Schizosaccharomyces pombe: one gene and its partners. The gene in region 1 interacts genetically with each later gene. Each region holds a gene or a part of one and is shown in the gene's direction. Other genes may lie near its edges.

Evidence for each region.
Region 2: mutations in rtf1 (region 1) and sqs2 together harm fitness less than expected from each alone (positive genetic interaction), as found in Schizosaccharomyces pombe (one large-scale study listed by BioGRID).
Region 3: mutations in rtf1 (region 1) and ppk14 together harm fitness more than expected from each alone (negative genetic interaction), as found in Schizosaccharomyces pombe (one large-scale study listed by BioGRID).

Annotation. Positions count from the first base shown.
Region 1 is NC_003424.3:4,795,067-4,803,843, reverse strand, and holds rtf1 (RNA polymerase I termination factor Rtf1), read left to right. Parts: upstream 1-4,716; 5' UTR 4,717-4,915; coding exon 4,916-5,354; exon of another isoform or gene 5,355-5,401; coding exon 5,402-5,568; intron 5,569-5,613; coding exon 5,614-5,701; intron 5,702-5,740; coding exon 5,741-5,852; exon of another isoform or gene 5,853-5,890; coding exon 5,891-6,223; exon of another isoform or gene 6,224-6,268; coding exon 6,269-6,420; intron 6,421-6,467; coding exon 6,468-6,577; 3' UTR 6,578-6,649; downstream 6,650-8,777. Other genes in the region: rRNA processing protein Rrp16, read right to left, coding at 1-473, 529-665; sec24 (coincidence detector Sec24/Sfb2 subunit), read right to left, coding at 1,309-4,089; 20S proteasome complex subunit beta 6 Pam1, read right to left, coding at 7,688-8,365. UniProt on the Schizosaccharomyces pombe protein: Mediates site-specific replication termination at the polar replication barrier RTS1, a barrier which ensures that replication of the mat1 locus in S.pombe occurs in the centromere-proximal direction.
Region 2 is NC_003421.2:1,790,311-1,793,928, reverse strand, and holds sqs2 (G-patch type RNA-binding protein), read left to right. Parts: upstream 1-1,854; 5' UTR 1,855-2,019; coding exon 2,020-2,583; 3' UTR 2,584-3,118; downstream 3,119-3,618. Other genes in the region: protein Cox18, read left to right, coding at 1-163; hnt1 (adenosine 5'-monophosphoramidase), read left to right, coding at 691-1,092; CDP-diacylglycerol-serine O-phosphatidyltransferase Pps1, read right to left, coding at 3,158-3,162, 3,246-3,609.
Region 3 is NC_003424.3:768,671-773,166, forward strand, and holds ppk14 (serine/threonine protein kinase Ppk14), read left to right. Parts: upstream 1-1,869; 5' UTR 1,870-1,952; coding exon 1,953-3,653; 3' UTR 3,654-3,996; downstream 3,997-4,496. Other genes in the region: SPOM_SPAC4G8.04 (GTPase-activating protein), read left to right, coding at 1-1,078, 1,142-1,420; tRNA 4-demethylwyosine alpha-amino-alpha-carboxypropyltransferase Trm12, read right to left, coding at 4,003-4,496.

The DNA of each region.
Region 1 (8,777 bases):
TCATCCAAGCTGCAGCGTCAGGATTGTATGACATTCCTGGATCAGCGATAACAACATTTGGGACTTTTGCATTATTCTCAGTTAAAGATTCGGGTAGTTTAGATAATGTAGAAGGTCTTTTAACAGGTATAGTAACTGTTGGGTTTGTTTCCCAAACATCATAACTTTCCTTTGGTTGTTTGGTATTTTTGAGCTCACTAGCAGCAGAAGTTGCGGTTAAACCATCTTTATTTTTATACACCAAAGCTTGTAGTCTATTTAGTTCTTTTCTAGAAAAAATTTTTCCTTTCTTATTGCTTTCAGTTGAATTATTCGTTAAATGAGAATGAACTTTTTCTATGGAAGACTTATTTTCAAGAATTTGATCAACCTTTAATGGTTTAATTTTTTTTCTGCTTCTTTTTGCAATTCTATCATCACCAAGAGTGTCAATTACAAATAAAGCATCATTCGGCTTGTGCTCGACATTTCCACTGTTTTAAGTTAATAAAAATATTTTTAATTAATACAATGCAAAAACTAATATACCCTTTTATTTCCTCATCTCTAGTCTGCTCTAGACCAGACTCGATATCCTCCAAATCAATATTTTTCCTCCATGCTCGTTTGTTTTTACGAGATGATTGTTTATATTGAGAAGGTGCATTCCTCTCTTTGATTCCCATCTTTTTAAAATAATAGGATTTCGACTCTCTAATCTAATTACTACAATTAGGAGTGCTTGGCAGAAGGCAAAATTCTACCACTTGCCAAGCACCTAGTACCGCAGTGCAAAATTACATTCTTAAATTAGTTTTTCAATATAAGTGAATACTCGCCTGGATATATAATCTAATTGCAATGAAAATGAAATTTAATAAATATTTAATATTTTTTTTATGCTTTAAATAGAAGATGTGAAGCTCTAAAGTGCGAAATTGAAAATCTATACACTGCAACTCAATTGTAATGAATTAAATTAAATTATTAGAACCTTTTGTTATTCTTGGAACAACTTCAACATCAAGTAATATGAAAATAGACAAGGTATAAAAGCTAAAATTTATGTACAAGCTGGCTGGAAGCTACATGTACGCAAATACCTAATTTAGTTTGATACATATATAGCTTTCATCAATATAAAAAGCACCAAGTATATTTACTAGATCAATTATTTAAATTTTTTTTTTCTTAAAAATACAAAAAACCAAAGAATGTTTAACCATATTGAATATTATTAATTAATCATGTCACTAATTCAGGCATATATTACCATCAGAACAATCAATTTAAAAAAGTTTTGTAGAAAGTAGCCAGATTTTACAGCCTTTAGTCACGAACTTTCTCTTTAAGAGTCTGCAAAAACTGTAAATAGCTGGGAGAGTTCTCACTACGATCCTCGACGAAGTGAGAGAAAAACCATGAGCGCAATTGTGGATCACCATCACCACGTACAAGGTAAAGACTAGGCATAATAGTTGAACCTTTATCCAACGAACGAAGTTTACCGAGAATCGCATTGATACGAACGTTAAGTGGGTTGTCTATAACTGGCATTGTAAAACGTCCAGCTTTCAAATCCGCAAGAGAGTTTACACCAAATGCGTCTATCAGTAGCTGCGGAACTGCATCTTTACCAATATACAAAAATTGATGAATGTGTGTATCAACCAAATATAAACCAAAAGATTGCAACAAAGCTGAAGTAAGATTTAACGCAGAAGGGAGAACTACACCCTGTTCTGTAACAGTTCCTGCTTCAATAGGCATATCGTGCAAAGAATAAAGAGTTGGATAAATGTAACGCATTAGTAAAGGAGTTGGCAGAGTACTTAAATAACATAGAGCAATAGAACGAAGGTCAGATGAGATATGACTAGATCTTCTGAATCCAGTATGCTTCGTCAATGCTAAACAAAGCAATGGTAATAGTCTTAAATTGGTGCTTATTTGAAGCGGGATCGCAGCACCGGTGTTTTGTCCAGCCAAATTTTTTTTGTAAACTTCCAAAATTTCTACAAGCTTACTTATAATGCTATCACGGGCTTCGTTCAACGTAGAAGAAAGAGCCTTTTCACTAGCCCGGACAGTAAGATATTGTGCAATGGCAACTTGATCGGCTGATGCATATAAATCAGTCATACTATTGGTAGTAGGAAGAGAAATAGTCAGTACACGAATCCGTCTTTCACCGTTACAAGTAGTATGGAGCATAGCTGTTTGGAAAGAAACAAAGGGCTTGGTGATAGTGTCCTCAATAACAACCTCTACTACATAACTCTGATCGCGAGGAAAAGAAGGAAACGCACATAGATCACTTGAACGATTAAAAAAGTTTCCGTAGAAAGAAGACATACGGAGACCGTTAGATCCACGAACACGCATCACCGCCTCTAGCTCAATCTCCATACTGAGATAGTTAGTAAGTTCAGAAGCAAATTTAAGAGCGTCCTCGCTACGGGAAGCATTCCACCTGTGATAGAATTGGGTTTTACCAGAGGTGTATCTAGGAAGGCAACTTAAGGTTGCTACATCTTGATACTGAGAAGAAAAAAGAAACATATCAACAGAGACTTGAGACGTGGAGCATTCCACCGCGAAGGATTTATAGAAGGAGTCATTGGGATGAAGAAGGCTAGATTCACGATTTGTTCCCAAAAGTTTAGGATCTTCACGTAACTCCAATTTACCAACACCAACATTAGGAAGACTCGAAATGAGACAGCAAATTTTACCGCCAATATTTTCAATGAGACGATGGGCAGCCTTAAGACCTGGTCCAAGGGCATTACTAGAATCACGGGTAGTTGCAAACATTGATTGAAATCGCTCGAGTAAGTTTTCAATGCCTTGTCTACATTCGCGTAAATTAAGTAACAAATCTTGATTCCTGGGTAAAAACGGTTCCTCTAAATCAGAAACAACTAGTTGGGTGGCTTCTTCAGCACCAGGGGAAACTGAAAAAAAATGCAGGGCACTGTCTACACCAATAAAAGCCACCTTTGCACGTCCTTCTTTATTGGGGATGCGATCCAATGATTCCAGAATTGCACGACTTGCAGTACCAACCATACCAGAAGATATGGATACAAACGAAATATCAATTAAAAATACGTAAACCAAAGGTTGTGGAGCACGAACCATATATTCTTGAGGAGCAATAAAATCAACAACTGCATAATTGAGCTCAGGACGTTGCCAGCGATCACGTTGGACATTTCTGAAACTGTCCCAGTCATATGACTGGGGTACTTCATTAACAATACCACAAGAATTACAGCGATAGCGATGGCCATTGTCAATAAAGATACTAAAAGGATTGATATACATACGACACCTGCGGCATCGTGATATAATAGTATCAGTAACAACTGGAACTGGATCATCTTCTTCGACCAAGCTAGTATATGGACGGATGACTAATGCAAATGGAATTTTTGACTTTTTTAACAAGCTATTTGTTGTCGGTACACAGTTTATCGTGGATCGAACATATTTGGGAGGGCAATTGGAAGTAGCTGCTCCAGTAGCGGAATAGCTTAAGGGTAAATTAATAGGAGGAGGAGGAGAGGTTAAGTCAGAAATTTCTGGTGTTTGATTGTACAAATCAACAGAAACTAACTCATTGGTAGGCATAGCTGCTGCACCATCTGCTCCAAGTGACATTCCGCCAAATTGTGCAGAGAGAGATTTAGTTCCCACCTCTGCGCGATCATGAGGATATGGTGAAGAGGATGGAGTTCGTGCCATAACGTAAGAGGGCTCTGAAAGAGAAGGGGGAGCCGGTGACGCTGCTAAGGTATTTGTAAGTTCAAACACCTCAGCAGGATACTGTCTACGAGACTTATGAGAGGTATGAGAAACGGGTGGTTGTTGATCGACAGATCCTATTATGTTGGTAGGAGCAGCACCCATAGCTCCAACAGCGTATTCACCATTGCTTACAATGCCTTCAGCTGTACCCTCAGCAACTGCCCCGACATAAGGAGCGGTATTATCTAGCTGGCCAGCAACTGGATAAACTGGCTGAAATCCTTGAGGAGGTATATTCGAATTTCCACTACTAGCTCCATAACTACCCTTTCCGTAGAAAGCGTCCTCCTGACTCATTGCTTTAGTGTATTTTTTTTTACTTACAGTGGTATATTGCTAGCAAAAAAAAGAAAAGAAACACTGAATTATTTAATAACTTTTTTGAAGATCCCTCTATTTTTCCTTCCTTTTCACAAAAAGACGTTTTTAACAGTGTTCCCTGGAGTAGGTAAATGGCAGCTACATTCGCTGGTTCAACTAACGTAGATGGAAAGTTAAGGTAATCACTGGAAAGTTAACGAGCTTTACAGTTTCGTTATTAAATACTATGTATCGTAGTAATTATATCGGTGACACACGTTATTACCCTAATAATTTTAACATAGGCAGGAACTTTGTACCTAATTGATAAAAAATAGTGATTATTAGTAAACAAAAGCCAATAGAGATATTTTATCGTTTTAATTTATTCTTTTTTTTTTTTAAGTTTGATATGAGGCAGATACCTGTAAACGTTTTCAACTAAAAAAACTCTTCTAAACCACTCATACTTAATTTTCTATTTTAAAAATTTTACATGTATATATCATAAACAAGAGAGTCACATCTTAAGAAATTTTGAAATTTTTTTAAAAATGCTCTCAAAAACCATCACTGCATGTATCGTACACTATTTAGCTACACCAACGCTCTATAATGTTACCCAATTTTAACAGGCTCACTAGTTAATTAGAATTCAGAATTGCAAAGTATCAAAAGTTCAATTATAGATTGAATAATTGAAGTTGCCTGCGCTATTTGGTTTTGTCTTACATGAACTATTACACCCCGGGTCCCTTGCTATACTGATTACCTTTTGTCAATGTTTTTTTCTTAATATTTCTTCAGACAAGTGAACATTATTATGCAAGGAAAAAACAATTTAAGTTGCAGACCGGATACAGAGGACAATGAAGAGCTCTTTGTCGATGATCAACTCTTATCACCCATTGGTGACTCGAAAAATACAAGTTCTTTCATTTACTTGGGAAACCCCATAAGCTTTCATGAATACAATTATGATGAGACTATGGTATCACCTGAAAATGTGAAAACAGCAATTGCTGGAAGTGCGAAAGACCATGAAACATGTCGAGGCTTCAAAAAAACAGGCACTACTTCATATAAAGACTTTGTATTCAGTAGAGATTACACCAACTGGACACCCACTTTTTGGGTTCTGTTAAGTCAACTAATTGATGAATTTTTGAAAGAAAGCGAATTAAACTTTGTGGCTGCGAGAGATCTTCTTATTAAAACCAAAAGACTTCCAAAACCTTTCAATAATTTACTCATTCAATTTCGTATGACACCTGAGTGCTTTCAAAAAAATCCGCTAATTCAAGTCTAGAAATTCAAGTGCCCAATGTTTCACGAAGGACTGTGTATAGGCATCTTAAGGGATATTTTAACATTCCAGGTTATGAAAGGTTTCAATACGTTAAAAAAGCGTCGTCTGGATCATGGGGAGCAAACGACATTATCACTTTGGAAAAAGAAATTGCTATGTTTAAAAAGGTATGGTCTTTAGCTTGCTGTTTTATTATAAATATTAAAAAACAGAAAAAAAATTGGTCTGATGAACAATTTCTTCAATATGTTTGGTCTGATAACCATCGTGATGAAATGAAAACATTATATAATTGTTTGTGTAAGTCAATTACTATCACTTGTTACTAATTAATAATAGATGAGCTTATCGATAGGGATAAAAAGAGTATTTACAATTATCTCCGCAGAAAATATAATCCATTTAAGAAAAAATGTAAATGGACTATAGAAGATGAGGCAGAATTGAAAAAGTATGTAGTTTACTTTCCAAATTGCAACTAACTAATAGACTTGTTGAAAAACATGGAACATCCTGGAGCTTAATTGGCAAATTGTCGAATAGACTACCAATGCATTGCAGAGATCATTGGCGCGACTACATTCAACCTGGTGAAATCAATCGTTCACCATGGACTATCCAGGAGAAAGAAAAATTAATCAAAACGGTTAATCAATACTTGCAAAGCAATCCTTCATCCCCTATTCAATGGAGTCTAATTTCTAAAAACATGAGAAATCGACACCGTCATCATTGTAGGTGGAAGTATTACACACTAATTTCCAGAGATATACATAATAGTTCCCCTTTCAAACTTGGCGATAGTATATGGTTAATTGAAAGGTACTCCAATTATAAAATTTTAAATAAGAAGCTAATTAAATTCAGAATGATGGACCTTAATGTTGCAGAGGAACGGATGATTGATTGGAAATGCTTATCAGAATATGCTAATCACCTATGGACAGCAGATGCTTGTAAATCGCATTTCGAAAGAATAAAAAAAACCTTGTTTATCGATGGACTTTCTACGTTTTCTGGTAAATTTTTGAATATAATAATTATTGTTAATATGTTAACGCTTTAGATACTTTAATTCATTTGCACAAAATGCTAAATTCTTCTCCTGAAGAAACTTACATTTCGAACTTACATGATTCTTACACCGCTTTTTCTAACGCCGATGATTTATGCTAGCTACATGAACAAATTTATTTTAACTACTTCCTCAAAGTCATAGATTTAAATTTTTTGTGTATTCATTGAGAGAATGTTCTCATCTTACTTATATTAGTAAATTCACTTTTATATTTTTTCTAGTATACATTTGTGTATGTAACCTGTTTGCCGTGTAGTCAATAAATAAAACAAATGTGGATAAAAAGGAAAAATAGTTTCTAACATTGGAGATGCCGGGAATCGAACCCGGGACCTTTTCAAGGTGCGAACTATGCGAATGAAACGTTATACCCCTAAACTACATCCCCAGTCGATATGATGTTATAATTTAACCCATTATTAATAAAAGGTTAAAAAAAAGAACGAATGTCAAGCTATAAAATAAAATAATCATCATCATCATTGATTAATTTAGCAAGGGTGCCTGCATCTAGTTTTTTTATCAGTCAATAACTCATACATTAACCGCATTCATAAGAGGCTATTTTGACAGGTCATTTCTGAATTTTTTGAATTAAATTAATAGTACACAGAGAGACATAAATGAAAACTAAGTAAGTTTCATTAATAATACATGAATACAGAAGTGATGCCCACAAAATAACAAATCAGATAATTCTATTTACTTACCCATCATAAATTTTTATTCATTGATGCGAAAATAAAATATGGATGAAAAGAGGTTGATTGAAGAAAAGTAAAATCATTAAATAATTTTTTCTTTATGATAAATTAGCCAAGCGTCTAGTGATTTCATAGAGTCAAAGAACGGAATTTAAATTACTGATGTACTGAAATCCTGATTTTTATGTCAAATATTCTATCACTTCCTAACTAATCCTTTTCATAAATATGACTAAAAAAATTACAAGTTTAAGTTGTTTCGAACTTATCCTCTACACATTCATAAATACGCCATGAAACTATGCAATGTACATCAAAGACAAAAAAAAATGTTTAACTTGTAAAATAAATTGAGACTAGGCTTTTCAAAATAGGGATATCTCCGATAAAATCTCATACATAATCATGCAATCCGAAATTGGAATTGAGCTTGACAGGCAGGCTGCCATTCTAGGAAGCTATATCTGTGACAGTGGAACATAAAAAAGTCATATTTACAAAAATCTAATCCTTCTTCAAAGGAATAATTCTTGTCTCTACACCTTCTTTTGTGATAATCTTAACAAGAACTGAATCACCAACCTCGATGTGTCGTTCTCCAGCACTTGTAAATGCATCAGTAGTAATCTTCATAGCTTCCTCCAATTTTAAAAGTCTCCTTGGCTTTCTCTCTTTTCCATGTGAACCAGGAACGTACTGATTATGTAAGTTCACTTGATTGTCGAGGAATGGAGTAATGAAGTTTGCAGCGGATCCACCAGCACGGCACCATTCCCGCTCATAAGAGCCAACAGGATCAAAAGAATAAATCTCTCCTTTTCCCTCTTTATCGATGCCGGCAACGGTTGTATATACATAATAGGGAAAAAATCTCTTTCCGTACAAAAGTGTCCGTACCATGCAAGCACAGGATTGTGCACTCATCTTGCGTTCATGATTATCATGATACAAGTCAATTCTTTGTTGAATTCTCTTAACTAAAGCTAGGGCATCGGCTTCGAAACCAGATGCTCCAATGACCAAATCATCACCGACTTCATGCACGCGAGGTTGAAACCGCGTATTAATGTTGTAACCATTAACACTTCTTGTATCTCCAGCTAAAATGGCAAACCCATCGCCAGCGATTGCAACAGTGGTACCACCATTTTGTACATAAGGATCAAACTGAGACTGTGACATGATTTTTGTGACGTTTAATTTATTTTTTTCTTAAAAAGTTTAAAAGATGAAGCGAATTATTAATTTCTAGTTTGCTAGAGCACTATTTATTGTCTCAACAAACCTTTTTGGTGCTTAGTAGTTGGTGAGTTGGATATGCTTATGTTACCTAAGTACTTGTACTATAGCAGTGAATACGTTATTCATAATTGTCCCCCAAAAATATACATTGCTCTATATAAAATTACCTAGGAAGATGTATATTTTTGAGTTTTCTAGTAATGTTATCTGCATTTCAAGGTTTTCATATAAAAAAAGAAGCCTTTCTACACTGTACATATGAATATTTAAGATTTTCTCAATTGAAAAACATTTCATTAAAATTGTGATTGGTTTCTGTCGATCATGGATTGTCGATATGCGTACCGAATTT
Region 2 (3,618 bases), on another chromosome or scaffold:
TTCGGATTCTCGATTGCTGAAAATATTCAATACCGCTGGTATAATGTCTGCTTTCTTTGTATCTTTTATGGCATTTAAGACTTCTACGGCATTGTCTTTATACTGGACTACCTCTGCAATTTACTCTTTGGTACAAAACGTTGCATTGAGAAAGCTGTTATAGAAGAGCAAGAGTAATTCTACATGTTTGGTTCTGAAAGGTCTTAACAAAATCAAACCTGACTAGTCGAGACTCACATATTATTCCTTCTTTCTTTCCGTACATAATTACCTACATTCTTATGGTAAAGCTAGGTTTTTGATTTGTTATGGCCTACCAAAAGGAAAATCTTTTGTCACAAAACATCTGATCATGGCAAAAACTGACTGAATTAGTAATGAAAAATAAGATACTTTATTATTAAAATGCCAAATAATATTTAATAAATATCATTAGTATTACAGGCTTGTTCGTGTGACATGAGTTTGGCATTTCAAGGATGACTACCTGCAAAGCTTTTTGAGAAATGCAACCTCGCCGATTACTCCATTTTTAAGGAAGAATTTAACTATTGATTTCATGTAAGTCGTTTTTAAAATTTACATTTTTTTTAAAAACATTTGACTTATTCACACTGTTTATTACGTTAACTACGGTAAATTTCGATAATTTTCCCACTTGCACATCCTTGACTTAAGCTAACCACCACTATGAGCTGCATATTTTGTAAAATTGTTAAAGGAGATATTCCTTGTGTGAAACTAGCTGAAACAGCCTTGTCTTTGGCTTTCCTTGATATTGCTCCTACATCTAAGGGACATGCACTAGTTATTCCCAAGGAGCACGCCGCTAAGATGCATGAACTGAGCGATGAGTCTTGTGCAGATATTCTTCCCCTTGTCAAAAAGGTGACAAAGGCTATTGGTCCTGAAAATTACAATGTACTTCAAAACAATGGTCGCATTGCTCACCAATTTGTGGATCATGTTCATTTCCATATCATTCCCAAGCCTAACGAAGAATATGGATTAGGAGTAGGCTGGCCCTCTTATCCTATTTCTCCTGAAGAAATAAAGGCATTGGGCGAGGAAATCAGCTCTAAGATTAAATAGTTTTTTTTTGTTCTGTGTGTCTCGTTGAATCGAAACTTTCCTTGACTTGGCGAGAACTATAAGGAAAACATGAGCCCTGTCTTTGTAGAATAGGCTTGTGTTTTTCATGAAAGTCGTTATTGGGTGTTGTTTGACGTTTATGTTTTTTAGAAATGAAAAGTTTGTTTTATACACTTTTACCTACTTGTTTTACCTTTCCAATGTAAGTAGTTGCTGTTATCTTTGCATAGTTTAAGGTGAATAAAGGGATTTTGTTTAGTAGTGTGCATACGGAATGTATGGTACAAATGTTTGGACCTGTTATTCTAGTGATTAGAAAAGGTGTGTTTGAAGAACATTGTTCAAATTGTAGTCTAAGGTCTAAATATTAATCCATGCAGGGTAGTTGGTTTCCTAATATGAGGTTATGAAACTTGCAGACGGAAAGATTAGTAAATGTGCATCAGAGAATGTTTATTTCCAGTATCATATTATTTTATTGATGACCTAGCTTGTTTTTTTTCTTTTAAGAAAATGAAAGACATCTTGCGGCGTCAACTTAAAACTTGATTGTTTGAAGAAATTTTTGCCGGACAGCATTGAAGAATTCTAGTATTTTTAACATGCAAAATTATATTTGAGCCTTTCTATCAGGGTATTGCTAATAATTGATCAAAACCACTGCGATAGTATTTACTTACCCAAAGTAACAATTATTCATCAACCAAGTCACACTTGGTTTATAGTAGCAAGCTATACTGCACGAACAAAACTTTTATAATTGAGAGCGAATTTGTGGAATAGTCAGGCTTGATTTTAATAAATCCCTATTATTATCCTTGATCTCATAAAATTTAAGTTTCTTGGGTTGTGCATTCTTTATAGCACCAATGCCAACTCAGGCTGGTTTTTGTAAATTTGCTGAATTTTCGAACATTTATTAATACAATGGCAATTATTGTGGAAGACGGTTCTTTTATTACATCTTCTCAATGGGAAAATGTAGAGGCATCTCCAAAACCTCCTCCAAGGAAGCCAAAGATTGTTCAACCAAAAAAGAAGCCATCGAAGCACTTGAGCAATGAGGATGCTTTAGAAAAATATGAAATGCTGTTTGGTGAAAGGAGAAAAGAAGTGGAACTAGATTATATGAGCCACATTGCGGAAGAAGAGACTTCGTTGAGCATGATTGAGTATGATCGTCATTTTGCACTTCAAACTGACGTGAAATTGTCAAAGAAAAGAAAATCCAAACTTGTTGAAATGACTCCTAAAGGTTTGAAAAAAAGGAAACGCGTGCAAATACAGGAAGGAAGTGTGTCAACCAATACAAAAAAGCGTATGGACGGTCATGTTGTTGGTTCTAGCGCTCCCGCTATAAATAATGGCAAAGGAAAACAACTTTTAGAAATGATGGGTTGGTCTCGGGGGAAGGGACTTGGTTCTGAAAACCAAGGAATGGTTGATCCGGTTGTGGCTGTTGTAAAAAATAATAAACAGGGTCTTCATTAGTTTTTGACGAGGAGATTTTAAATCCTCATAGTGTATATTTACAAAACATTATTTATTTAGAAGGAAAAATTACTTTTCACCATCATTTTGGGAAAGTTTCTTTTTTATAAAGAATTTTATTTTTGGTTGCTCATCATGATGACTATATAAGAAATAATAATTAAAGGAATTTTACTATATTTTACCGTTGAGGGTACAATCACTTGAAATAATTCAATTTCATAAGTTTTTCATAAAGAGAGCAATAGAAAACTGGTAAGTTGAAAAACAGCTTCTAATTGTTAAAAGGACGGAAATACATATTTGGAAAAGGGGGAAGGAATGAACAATGATGAGTGCATTTACGTTAAAAATGGTTAAGTCGAATAGGTGAAGGACAGACTTATCTTCGAAATGGAAGAAAAAAGGAAAAACAGGATATGAGAAGAGATTCAGTAAGGATTATAAATTTAAGAGAGGAAAAGGCTTCGCATGCGAGTAACATCAAAAGCAAAAAGTGAAAAAAACTGTGTATACCCAGATCGCTGTACTGTAAAGTTTCATTTGGATTCTATTGAATAAAAGCATCAGTTGATCAAACTAAAAAATCGATCAGTTAATATAAACAAAATAAAAAAAAAGAGCATTCTAAACATATTTGAGCGAATGTAATAGAAACGTACTTTTTGGAACTTTGAGTTTCTTACTAGTCATAGCAATTCCACTCAACACAAACAAAACCACAAGCGGGTGAAATGCAAAAGGTGTGTTTCCACACCACTCACCCCAAGGTAGATTTTCATGAGTCTTTCCCTTTAAGATACAAACTCCGCAAACGGTTACTAAGGAGAGGGTGGTAGGAATGGGCGTTCCTTCGAAAAACTGAGACTTGCCAGATCCATCTTTAGGAATGGAATTGACAGAAACATTAAAACGAGCCAATCTAGTTAGACCACACAAAACAAAAAGGGAAAGTATAACGGTATCAAGGAACGTTTGGAATCCACAACAAAAGGCAAAGACGGCTGGAGATACGCCAAATGAAATCTATTTTGT
Region 3 (4,496 bases), 4.0 Mb from region 1:
TAGCAAGCTATTGAGCACCTCAAATTTAAATAACAAGCCTCTTTCTCTTTCATCAACAGCACCTTCGATGCCTTCAATTGGTTCTGTGGAGTTGGGAAATATGATTCCTAAGGAAACCCAGCCGCCCTCAATGCGAAATGATTGGAAAGATTATTTAGATAATAATTCCAAGGAAATTCTCGATCAATTTGGTTTTTTACAAAAACGACCAAGTCACGACACCCCTTTATGTCCGGAGGACATAAAATTAAATCAGAAACAGACTCTGTCGTTCTATGAAAGCAATTATGGCTTGGTTGATGATTTTTTTGGCAACGAGTTAGATGGGCTCAACGATTCTCCATTGTTGCTAAATAAAAAAGATATTTTATTGGATATGAAAGAAAGTACCCGACAAAAAAACTGGAGCTTGTTTTTTCAACGCTTGTACAAAAAATATAAAATTACCGATGAGGATACAATTGGTTTACTAGGAATATCTAGCATAGGTGTTAAAGGGCGTCATGGTAAAAAAAGATGGCATAAATTTCGTGAACTTGTGAAAAATGGTGTTCCTTTGTGCTATAAAGCTAAAGTTTGGTTAGAGTGCTCAGGCGCTTATCAATTACATTCACCTGGCTATTATGAAGAACTATTATCACGTACTGATGAGGTTGAATCAGCGAGTGTTGCGCAAATCGATATGGATATTAACAGGACTATGGCTAAAAATGTATTTTTTGGAGGAAAAGGACCTGGAATCCCGAAATTACGACGAATTTTAGTTGCTTATAGCCGCCACAATCCACACATAGGCTATTGTCAAGGAATGAATGTTATTGGTGCCTTTCTTCTTTTATTATATGCTTCAGAAGAAGACGCGTTTTATATGCTAATGAGCATAATTGAAAACGTTTTACCTCCGAAATACTTTACTCCTGACCTGATGACTTCGCGAGCTGATCAGCTGGTTTTGAAAAGCTTTGTGAAAGAGTCATTACCGGAAATCTATTCCCATTTAGAATTACTTGGGGTTGATTTGGACGCCATTTCATTTCATTGGTTTTTAAGTGTATATACTGATACACTCCCTACGAATGTACGATAAGTGGTTTTGAAAGATTATTAAAGTATGAATTGTTTACTAACTACTTTTTTTTAGATATCTTTTAGAATATTTGACATGTTGTTTTGTGATGGTTATGTATGCTTATTTAGAGTTGCACTTACGATTCTAAAATCTTTAAAGCAACAAATTTTAGCATGCAATTCCTCTTCTGCCATCTACTCATTTTTGAGTGATTTGGTTCAATACTCTTTTCAACCCGATTCGTTTATTAAAGAGGCTGCTGATCGGTGGTCCAAACTTGTTACGGAAAAGAGTATTGAACGGAAACGTAACTTGGCTATTTCTTCGTTAAACTTAGCGGTCAATTATTGAGTTCTTTGTTTTGTTTTACTGGTTTGATTCGTGATCGTTGGTAAGTTATGATCTTTAATAAATAAAAAAGCTTTTTGTTGCCTCATGGGCATCTTATTCATTTTTATGTTGGGTTACTCATGAATATAATTTTTTAATGTTTTCCATCACTGTATACTATGACTGGGTTATTTTAATGCTGTTTCAGGAGTCCATTTCATTATAATTTGGAAGTATAGAATGTAAAATCTTTTTTGAAAACTCTTGTATGAAGCTAGGCAATCCATGCATAACTTTCACTTATAGTTTTTGATTTGTTTGGTTTAATAAACATAGACAGATTCTTGCTCTTCATATATTTTCCTGTATGCTATATAAACATTGCTCTTACGGTTTGTGAGGTACAACGATCGATAACGCAGTCGGTTATATTTCTAGTATATCATAAGTGTCAGTGTCTCAGTAATGTCATCCGGTGTACTTTCCGCCATACACAAAAATATCAGTGGAATTGAATTGTATTGCGACCGACTCGTAGCACTTTCAAAAGCAAATGAATGAACTTCATGATGGTGAGAGCTCTGAGGAAGGAAGGATCAATGTTGAAGATCACCTAGAAGAAGCTAAGAAAGATGACACAGGACACTGGAAACATTCCGGCACTGCCAAGCCATCCAAGTTTCGAGCCTTCATAAGGCTGCATTTTAAGGATAGCAGAAAGTTTGCTTTTTCTCGAAAGAAGGAAAAAGAATTGACGTCGGAAGATAGCGATGCTGCAAATCAATCACCTTCTGGTGCACCTGAGTCGCAGACCGAGGAAGAGTCTGATCGCAAAATTGATGGCACTGGTAGTTCCGCAGAAGGTGGTGACGGGAGTGGTACTGATTCAATTTCCGTAATAAAAAAATCGTTTTTTAAAAGTGGGAGGAAGAAGAAAGATGTTCCCAAGTCGCGAAATGTTTCTCGTAGTAATGGTGCTGATACCTCAGTTCAGCGAGAAAAGTTAAAAGATATTTTCAGTCCTCATGGGAAGGAAAAAGAATTGGCTCATATTAAGAAAACTGTTGCAACGAGAGCGAGAACATATTCTTCCAACTCTATCAAGATATGTGATGTTGAGGTTGGTCCATCTAGCTTTGAAAAGGTTTTTCTACTTGGCAAGGGAGATGTCGGTCGAGTTTATCTTGTTAGAGAAAAAAAGTCTGGCAAATTTTATGCCATGAAAGTTTTGAGTAAGCAAGAAATGATTAAACGCAACAAAAGCAAACGAGCTTTTGCAGAACAGCACATTCTTGCGACAAGTAACCACCCATTCATTGTTACACTTTATCATTCTTTTCAATCTGATGAATACCTTTATTTATGTATGGAGTATTGTATGGGAGGTGAGTTTTTTCGAGCTTTGCAACGACGTCCTGGCCGTTGTTTATCAGAAAACGAGGCCAAATTTTACATTGCAGAAGTTACCGCTGCATTAGAATACCTCCACTTGATGGGATTTATTTATAGAGATTTGAAGCCTGAAAATATTTTGTTGCATGAGTCAGGACATATTATGCTTTCTGATTTTGATTTATCTAAACAATCAAACTCTGCCGGTGCACCAACGGTAATTCAGGCCAGGAATGCACCATCCGCTCAAAATGCTTACGCATTGGATACAAAATCATGTATCGCAGATTTTCGCACAAATTCATTTGTCGGCACAGAAGAGTATATTGCTCCAGAAGTTATCAAGGGTTGTGGTCATACAAGCGCTGTTGACTGGTGGACTTTGGGTATTTTATTTTATGAAATGCTATATGCCACGACTCCTTTCAAAGGTAAAAATAGAAACATGACTTTTTCGAATATTTTACACAAGGATGTTATATTCCCTGAATATGCGGATGCTCCTTCAATTTCCAGCCTTTGCAAGAATTTGATTAGAAAATTATTAGTGAAAGATGAAAATGATCGCCTTGGGTCACAGGCTGGTGCTGCAGACGTGAAGCTTCATCCTTTTTTTAAAAATGTCCAATGGGCTCTATTAAGGCACACTGAGCCTCCGATTATTCCAAAGCTTGCCCCTATTGATGAAAAAGGCAATCCTAATATTTCCCATCTAAAGGAAAGTAAAAGTTTGGATATTACTCATTCTCCCCAAAACACACAAACAGTTGAAGTTCCCCTATCTAATTTATCGGGTGCAGATCATGGAGATGATCCCTTCGAATCGTTTAATTCAGTTACTGTGCATCATGAGTGGGATTAGGTCATTTTCTTTTCTTCCTGTAACTTGCATATTGATGGTAATTTTTCGCACGTCTATGATATTTTTCTCATCTTTTTGTTTAATCAATCCATTATTAAAAGAGCATTTGCTGACTTCATTCATTGCATATATTGATACGTTGTTGAGGCACAAAATATTTCGCTTAACTAGATTCTCCTTTTCACCACAAAGTCTTTCTTTTTTCTACCTTACTTTTACCAGATTCAGACATGCTTTCTCTATTTTCAATAGGAAGTTAAATAAACTTCTAGACAGAATATAACATATACCATTCTAATAACATATTTTGTAAAATAACCAAAAACCACCTTAACAAAATTACCATTAACTAAACCGTCTCTATATCGTAAACGATATGTGACACTCGTGGTGAAAATGATTTGACACAATTTGTAACACAAACTGTATTTTTAGCCAACATTTTTGAAAAACATGAATTCACTTCAGAAGAGTATGTTTCGATATCTTCATCTTTTACGTTCTCATGAACATGTATAAAGGAATGTGATTCTCGCTTTAAAATTGAAGTAGCGGTTGACCAGGATTTTTCACTAGAGGGGAGCATTCCCAAATTTATATGTCGAGCAGAAATATTCATTTTGGAGAACCTTTCAGCTGCATAAACGTTGCTTTCCAAAAAAACTACAATACGATGAGTTCCTACTTTAAATTCATAGTTTTCTCCATTTCGAACTACATAAATAGACCAGCCATTTTTCAAAGCAGCTCTCCTTAACGCTTCAACACTCCATGGATTAATTTCCCAGCAAAAAACTGTTGAAGCTCCCGCTTTAACGTAAGAAAATGTAAAGTACCCTATAC